2 linked regions of the Oryzias latipes genome follow. The protein of the gene in region 1 purifies or fractionates together with the protein of each later gene. This does not show direct contact. Links are inferred from orthologs where the notes say so. Each region holds a gene or a part of one and is shown in the gene's direction. Other genes may lie near its edges.

The links. Proteins that work in one complex are often made in the same cells at the same time.
Region 2: the proteins of akap9 (region 1) and csnk1d purify together in Homo sapiens (affinity purification with mass spectrometry; 4 studies listed by BioGRID and IntAct, counting the BioPlex papers as one, with this or other methods). This does not show direct contact. The link is inferred for Oryzias latipes from reciprocal best matches to the Homo sapiens genes AKAP9 and CSNK1D.

Annotation. Positions count from the first base shown.
Region 1 is NC_019869.2:412,036-416,281, forward strand, and holds part of akap9 (A-kinase anchor protein 9), read left to right. Parts: coding exon 1-286; intron 287-822; coding exon 823-957; intron 958-1,030; coding exon 1,031-1,075; intron 1,076-1,162; coding exon 1,163-1,294; intron 1,295-1,455; coding exon 1,456-1,500; intron 1,501-1,582; coding exon 1,583-2,398; intron 2,399-2,480; coding exon 2,481-2,538; intron 2,539-2,600; coding exon 2,601-2,719; intron 2,720-2,787; coding exon 2,788-2,958; intron 2,959-3,028; coding exon 3,029-3,196; intron 3,197-3,315; coding exon 3,316-3,560; intron 3,561-4,002; coding exon 4,003-4,153; intron 4,154-4,246. UniProt on the Homo sapiens protein: Scaffolding protein that assembles several protein kinases and phosphatases on the centrosome and Golgi apparatus. Required to maintain the integrity of the Golgi apparatus. Required for microtubule nucleation at the cis-side of the Golgi apparatus.
Region 2 is NC_019866.2:24,956,924-24,961,269, reverse strand, and holds the start of csnk1d (casein kinase I), read left to right. Parts: upstream 1-1,745; 5' UTR 1,746-2,137; coding exon 2,138-2,213; exon of another isoform or gene 2,214-4,346. UniProt on the Homo sapiens protein: Essential serine/threonine-protein kinase that regulates diverse cellular growth and survival processes including Wnt signaling, DNA repair and circadian rhythms. It can phosphorylate a large number of proteins.

The DNA of each region.
Region 1 (4,246 bases):
GGAGCTGCAGAGGAGCACCCACATGCTCGCCCTCCAGCTGCCCAGCCTCCCCCCACTGGGATTCAGCGGACCACACCAAGCACCGCAGATGCCCACGGGGAAGCTGGCCCGTCTGACGCAGAAGCTCCTGGACCTGGAGGAGGGACTCGGCGCCATGCAGAAGGACCAGGAGCTCCAGAAGGAGCTGCTCTCCAGCTCCGAGGAGGAGGTCGACCAGTACGAGAGGAGGCTGGGCGAGCTGATGGACCTGCTGAGTCAGATGACCCGCCGGAGGACATCTGCAGAGGTGAGCTGAGGATCCCACACAGACGTTATGCTGAATCAGCAGTTTGAGAGCAGGAGGACGTTCAGAGAAAAGCTGCACAGATTTGGAGGAACTTCAGATGATTTTTAGTTCAAAGCTGGGAGGAAAGCCTCTCGTCCCGGCTGCCCTTACGGGGGATTTGGGGTGCGAGCCTCACTCTACCGCGGTCCATCAGATCCAGTCAGATCCAGTCCTCACACCTCACTAACCACAGCGTGAGGCGTAAGGACGCCGTAGGCAGCTGTCATTATCCTTACCAGTACTTCACAGACACCCACCACACGCACTACAATGGTACGGCCCATTTTCAGGACCCCCCTAAAGTGGTGGTACGAGCCTGAAGGGACCACCTCCCCTCCCCTTAAGATGCAGCCGCTCCTCTCTAGGACCAGCTGTTTCTGAAACCCACCTGCAGGTGTTTTCACGCCCACTCCTGGACTTTCCTTCCGTCAGATTCCTCCTCCTGTTTTCTGATCTGAAGCTCTGCAGGTTTTCAGAAACTCTCCTGTTTTCCTCAGACCCCCTCTGACGATCAGCCACCTCCATCCGACCTCCTGCAGGAGCTTCAGGAGGTCAAGTCGGAGGCTTCAGCCGCCACAGACGAGCTGGAGAAGTACACGGAGGTGTGCAGGAGGCTGGAGCAGGACCTCCGAGTACGTGACGTCTCCTCCATCATTCTGACCTTCTGATCTTCTCTAGAAATGAACCAAAGCTTTTTGTTTCCAGGAAAAGTCTTCTACAATCCAAACTCTGCAGGTCCAAATTCAGCAGGTAAGATGAGAGCGCACGTGAGAGCGCACGTGTGGCCCGCTGCAGCAGCAGAAAGCCATGTTTGATGCTGCCCTCTTGTGACTGCAGAGCGGCTCACAGTCTGCAGAGCCTGGAGTCTGTGAGCGGAAGCTGCTGGAAGCAGAAGCAGAAGCCGCCGCCGCCAAAGAAGAGCTGAGCAGCAGCAGAGAACGTCTGGAGAAGCTGCAGGAGCTGCTGCAGGTCGGTAACCACGGCAACGCCGCGGAAGCTCTGCCATGACGTCGCCAGAGATGATCAGTAAAACTGACGAGAATCCGAGTTTCTGCTGATTCACTGTTCAGCCGGATTCTTCACCTGAGGATTGATGAGTCTGAACAAAACAAATCCTGTTTTTATTTCAGGAGCGAGAAATGACCATCGCTCACCTGAAAGGAGAACTTCTCCAGGTACGTGAGGAACCTCTTCCCGGTCTTCGGCCGGTTTCTCCTGAAGCGACTCTTTGGTTGATGAGCTGGTTTGGTTCTGCAGGTGAAAGCCTCGGGAGACGCCGCTGACACCGCGAAGCTCTTCCAGGAGCTTCAGGAGGTCAAAACGCAGGCGGCGTCCAGCAGAGAAGAGCTGAGCTTTTACCGGACGCACAGCGAGAAGCTTCAGGAGGACCTCAGAGCCACGGAGGCTTCTGCTGCCAGGCTCGGCGAGGAGCTCCAGGAGCTGAGGAGGAACGTGAACGCCACCAAAGAGGAACTCAGCGGCTGCAGGCTGAGGAACCAGACGCTGCTGGAGGACCTTCACAGCCGAGAGACGTCCATTTCCAGTCTGAAGGAGCAGCTCCAGGAGGCGCAAACAGCTTTGATGAAGACCACAGGGTCTGGCTCTCTGTCCCTCTCCCCATCTCCTCAGCCTAGCTCCTCCTCCTCCTCCTCCTCCTCTCAGCCCAAAAGAAAAGGAGGCAAACAGCTGGCTGGGAAGGTCAGCAGCACCAAAGACAAGCTCTCAGCCACCAGGAAGAACTCTGCTGCTTCCAGCACGCCGTCCGCCAAATCCCCCAGCCCTCAGCCAAGAACCTGCTCAGAGGAGCAGCCCTCCACCGCCGTGACCTCCTTCACCCAGACTGAAGCTCTGCCCGCTCCTGAGCCCAGGGCAGCTGCCACGGAGGAGGTGGAGGAGGTGATCGGACAGTTCCAGGAGAAGATCGACCAGATGCAGGAGCTCCACGCCGCAGAAATCCTGGACATGGAGGCGCGGCACATCGCCGAGAGCGAGAACCTGCGCAGGGACCTGCAGGCACTGGAGGCCGAGTGCAAAGCTCTGAAAGCTGTGATTGACGAGCTGCGCTCTGCCCAGGTGACAGCAGGAGGAAGACGATGAAGATGATGATGATGGGCACTACTCCACGCTTCCTCTGACCCTCTGTCTGTCTCTTTAGGCTCCGGCTTCACGGCAGGACCGCCCCGCTTCACTGTTCAAAGACGGGTACACCAGCGGTGAGTCTGTAGAAAAACCTGCAGCTGGGTTTCTGTTCCGTTTCTGAACGTCTGTCTCCCAGCAGACAGCAGCTCTGACTACAGCCAGAGGACGGGCTTGGGGCTCCTGCAGCAGGAGCTCAGGACCACCCCAGAGGGGGCCGGGAGGGAGGCTGAAGACCCGCTGCCGGACAGGATTAAGGTACGCCGTGTTCTCCTGCAGACGCCGTCACAGCGCTCCTCCTCATGTTCTCCTCCTGCTCTCTGCAGTCCTTGATCCGTGAGGTCCACCAGGAGGGCATGCAGGTCCTGTCCCTGTCCGAGCTGCCCCTGTCTGAGGGCCAAGCAGCACGCCACGGCGGCGTTCCAGGCTGGCAGAAAGAGAGGGACGCCGTCCTGGCCACGCTGGAGTCCTTCAAAGCCGTCGTCGCTCAGGCGCAGGTACGGGAACCTCTTCTGAGAGTCCAGCGGCTCTTCCCTGCAGACGGTTGATCTGATCCTCCTGCTGCAGATGGCGAGCGGCGCAGACTGGCGAGCGGACCTGCTGGACGCAGTGAGGCAGGTGTTTGAGAGGCAGAGGAGCGTGCTGAAGAGCGCCTGGTTCAGCCAGCTGGGTCTGCTGGACACCAGTGACGCCGTCGTCCATCTGAACCAGCTGGAGCTCAGACTGGATGAACAGGTGACGCGCCGGACCCGCACGCCGCTTCTGAGGACGTGTTGGTTTACTCTAGAAAAGCCTGAAATGTTTGTCCCAGCATCTGAACCCGTTTGGATCCTAACGTGCTGGTTCTGGTGCAGGACGCGCGGCACAGAGACGCCATGGCGGCCCTCCTCACCGCAGAAAGAGCCAGTCTGCTGTCGGAGATTCAGCAGCTTCAGAGTCGGCTGCAGCAGGAGGAGGGAGGAGCAGGCGGAGGAGCAGGCGGAGGAGCAGGCGGGCCGCGGCCGGAGGAGCTGCAGGCTGAACTGTGCCAGACCAGACTGGAGCTGGAGGCGGAGCTTAAGGTCCAGCAGAAACACCTGAGGGAGCTGGAGGGACTCAGGTGACTTCAGGATGAAATGAAGCTTGGAGTTCAGATTTACAGCGTTTTAAAGGAAAAGTTCTGATCTGAACAGAAAAGAAACAAACTTTAGGGACGTCTAACTGATCCCAATGCTTCTGTTAAGCGTTCCTACAATGATGCACATTAATATCTGCATGATGATATGATGCTGTTGTTAACTGCATGTAAAGAAAACGGCAGTAAAGATGAAAAACCTGCAGCTCAGTAAACAACAATCCAATCTAGAGGTTTTTCTGAGGATTCACAGACCAGAGTCAGAAAAATGAACCGATCTGACAACGGTTCTCCATGTGGACCAACCACAGAGTATGAAATATTCACGACTAAAATGCTGGATCGATTCTCCGCTTTGAGCCTCAGAAAAACAACAAGTTCATGAAACCTGTTTCTCTGGAAATAATGAGCGAGTTTCCACCGACAGGGCGGAGGTGTCGCAGAGAGCTGCAGAGGTGGAGGAGCTGAATGAGCAGCTGATGGACGAGAGGAAGAGGAGCAGAGACCTTCAGTGGGCCGTGGAGAAGGAGAAATGCAGGACCGAGAGGAGCGAGGAGAACAAACGGGAGGAGGTGGAGGTACGAGAACAAACACCAGAACCTCAGTCCTGAACGTCACGTTTGAAGATGACTGCCAATGTTTTCTGAGAGGAAGAAATCGGAATGAAAGCA
Region 2 (4,346 bases), on another chromosome or scaffold:
TGCATATAAACAAAAATCCTAAACTTTGCTGGAAAAAAAACATAATCATGATTTTAAAAGTGTTTCTAAGTTCTTTGTTGTCGTTTTTTTCTTTCATTTCAATTACAGTGAGCTTTTTAACACCATCCTTTTAATGTATAATTTTAATTTTTGACATTAGAGGTGGCTGGTCTGGTTTTGGAGGGGTTTTAAAGAAAACTTTATTTTTAATTGGAGTTTAATTAGCTTCATGTTAAATACAATTTAAACTGAAACTTAATGTAATTCTAATAACGCAGTATGAGTCATAGGTGTTATGTACTCATCTGAATTTACTTTTTACACTTTTTTTTCTTTTTTTGTTGGTCACTTGACTCATTAACCTTTGAGGCTTAAGGTATTGTAAAGAACTATGTAGAAGGTTAACCCTGTTTATTAACATGCATTTCCAGATTCTGATGTAAAATGCTACAGCTCATTCATGCAAGGCAACATGACAGGATGAGCTTCTTTGACTGTAGGTGACGTGTGGAAGACTAGGAGTGTCTTATAGTACAATCTGTGATCAATTTCAGTATAAATAAAAAAGAACATCTAATAAATAGGATTTCTAATCAAGTAATTCATGAACATTTTAATAAAATCTATTACAAATGTATAAAAAATGCAGCCAGTAAAAGCAATGGGATTTAGGAAAATCAATCGCCTCATTAAACCAACAAAAGTAAAAAGATTTTCTAACCTGAAGTAGGAATAGTGTGGTTTGGTTGTCTTTTCAGAAAACGAGAGCAGAGCTGTGGTTTGGATGAAGAAGTCTGCAGGGACAGAGAAGAATGTTGGAGATCTTCAGAACAACCGGGAGACAAGAGAAGAGAAGATGGAGGTGGGACTACGCCAAGGATCAGCTTTGAGCGCCTTCTTGTTTCTTTGGTGATGGACAGACTGAGAGACGAGGTTAGACACACAAGCCTCTTAGTATGGCAACTCCCAGCAGTGGTTTAATATAAGTAGAGTTTATTCTGCTAATGGAAGTTCACCTCAGTTAAAAAATCTTAAAATAAATGCCAACATTTATTCAAATCGTTTGTATTTTTCTTCAAAGTCAGAGAGCCACAATAGTGGAATAAAAGCGCCGCGTGAGGCTCACGGTGGAGACCCCCGGTTCAGACACAGAGTCAGGAGGAAGAGCTGGAGGCAGCAGAGAGGAAGATGCTGAGGTTCTCTGTGGGACCAGGATGGATCAGGAATGGATCCATCAGAGGATCGGATCACAGATGTTCTGGAGATCCAAGCAGATGGAGATGTTTAAGAGGAAGAACAGTGATGATGATGGTGAAAGGATGCTGAGGCTGGAGCTGCCAGGAAAGAGAGGAAGACCAAAGAGGAGGGTCATGGATGGAGAGGAGGATGCAGAGAAGGTTGGACGGAGTCCGATGATTTTCTTTGGCGCCCCCTAAAGGCAGCAGCAGAATGAAAAAGAAGAAGCAGTAAAAAAAAAATTCAAATGCATTTTCAGATCAAAATATTTATTTATCAATGTAACAAAAATAGTTCCTGTTTTAATTTCAAAGTGTGATTACAGAATACTTTAATCTGTATAATCTGTGTATCAATTGTTGCATTAAAATCATATTTTGTCATCTCTATAATTATTTCAGTGTCTTATATTCAAACCGCTGTTTTGCTGCTGTCTGCTTGGAACTCGACACCTTTCAAACTGCCCCCCCCCCCCCGCTCCTCTGGACCGGAAGTGACGTCAGAGCGGAGCAGATTGCTGAGTTCTGCTCACAGCAGCGCCACAGGACGCGGGAGACCCACAGCGACGCCAGACTCTGTCCAAAATCCGTTGTCATCCTCGGAAATTTAGCTTTTATCGACCTAAAAGACATCACGAGCATAACGTGGACACTTTAAGCTTTCTAGAAAGCGCTGTATTGTCACGATATGACGTTTGTAACATTTTAAAAGCGAAGGCGAAAGATTGTTGTTGGAAGCCGTCTTCATCCGGATACATACTGCTCACCGGGGAACGGATTTTGGGCAGAAACCCGCCGCCGCTGCTCGTTCCCGCTTTTCTTTGTTTTTTATTTGATTTACTGCCAAGTGCTTTAGGTCTGAACGTTTTCAGAGAGAGCTGGTTGACCACAGAACCTTCACCATGGAGTTAAGAGTTGGAAACCGATACAGACTGGGCAGAAAAATTGGAAGCGGCTCGTTTGGAGACATCTACCTGGGTATGTTGTGACGGAAACGCCGTGGTCTGGTCCCTACCTGCCGATCAGGGGAGTCGGGCGGCTGGTCTGACTTCTTTCCGGGGTGTCCTGAACGGCTCAGCGACGATCAGCTGTTAGCAGCATTAGCTAAGAGGCTAGCAGACTCGGCTGTTGTCTGAAGCAGCATTTAGTCCGAGATGTTCAGAATTCTTCCTGTTAAACTCTGAAGATTTGGTCTTTGACGTTTTGTGACGGCTTAGCGTACCGATGGTGGAACTGGACCGGTTATAAGGACGCAGTTCTGGGACGAGGCCCTGTCTGTCCGTCTGTCCGTCTGTCCGTCTGTCTGTCTGTCTGTGTGTTTCTGAAGGACTCAGAAACCGAGGCTTCATCATGTCCTTAAACGAAACACTTCCGTTCATTTATGCATGTGTTCTTGTGTTTCTGTTGTGGATTTACCTGAAACACATTTACTCTATAAGGAAGCGTCCTGTCTGTCTGTCCAGATATAATCAGGAAGGCCCAACGTCCACCAGGCAAAGGTTTCTTTACATCCAGCTGTCTGTCTGTTTCCTGATCCCATCTATGACATCGTATTGTTTGCTAATGGTTACAGTCTGGGATTGGATTATGTTTCTAGTTGTACTTGTATTCAGCAGCAACAGCATAGCTGGAGTCTGACATTCAGCTCTTAACAATAAAACTGTGTAAATAAAAAAACAATCCTGAGTTTTGGATCGAGACCATTTTCACAGCTGAAGATCTCCACTCAGAAAAGACATTACGATATAATGTGGACGTATCTGACTGTCAGTTATTCTCCTCCACACATTTGACTGTATCCAAATAAAATCAGATGGGTGTTGGAGAAGCAGCACATGACCGTGACTTTCATACGTTGGCATTTCAAAGCTCCTTCCGTTTACGTCTGGTTCCTGCTTTTTAGTGACTCCAGAACATTTCACAGTGAGGTCAAGGAAAAGCCTCCATGGAGGTAAAAATGTTGTTGTGACTGTTGACTCCACCGTAGACATGTGGAGGTCATTCCAGAAACCTTCTCAGTAAGAAGTTTATCCGTTTGAGCCTTTATGTGTGGCCCTTTTGATTTGCAGACATTAGTAATGTTCAGCGTTTATGATTTCCCCTTCATAGTACCAGACAACAAATCTGCAAAGAGGAACAGGCAGTAAACAAAGAGCCACAGCGGATTATCTGCAGGAAGAAGCTGACATGTCTTGTTTTTATTTCTGCGGTGATGATGATCAGCAGCCAATCAGCACACTTCTACCTTAGTTGTACTTCTGTTCTGAGGGCAATGTTGCCTTTTGTATCAGGAACATGCTGCTGAAGATCTAGTGTGGGTGGTTCTATAGAAAACCCCCACTGGCTTTGCTGCTCTTCTGTTGTGTTATGGAGCTATAGTAATGGGCTGTTAGCTTTCAGCCCAGTTCAGGTGTGAACACAGCAGAGTTTTGACGGATTCTTTCAAACGTTACACACCTCACTTGATGAGCTCAAACTGATGACTATCATTAAAGTGTAATAACACGTGTGGATATCATGGTTTAACTACAAACTCCATTAAATACACCAGGCTGCCATCAGCCTGTGAAGGCGGGCTCTGCTTGAGGTTAATCCACTGAAAACACACCTTAACGTTGGAAGAGGACAGGGCTCTGCAGGCAGAAACAGGACCCAGGAGAGTAAATAATTGTATCCAGCCCTCCTTCCACGTGACCGCCGGGCCTGATGGCGTGGAGCCAGCTGCTTGCATAACCACTTTATGGTTTTTGTCTTCTGCCCCCAGAGAGATGACTAACCTGACCTCCGGGTTTAAAAACGTTTAAAAATGCATCTCTATAATCTTCATTCTTTCATAAAGCTCTAGATTTGAACTAGAACCAACAGCCTGATTCTGCCTTTTGTGACAGCAGCAGGGCATGCTGGGAAGTGAAGTTCTTAACTATGCATGCATTTTTCTGGTGAGTTGTAGTTGGATAGCTTTTGGTCTGTGGTGACTGATTATTAGTTATAAAGCTGGTGTCTCTTTGAATTCCCAGCTACTTTAATGGTTTTACCTGTTGACATGTTTACTGCATAACGACGCTTCACACTGAACAACTGATTACCAGCTTTGGATCACATTTTTTTAAT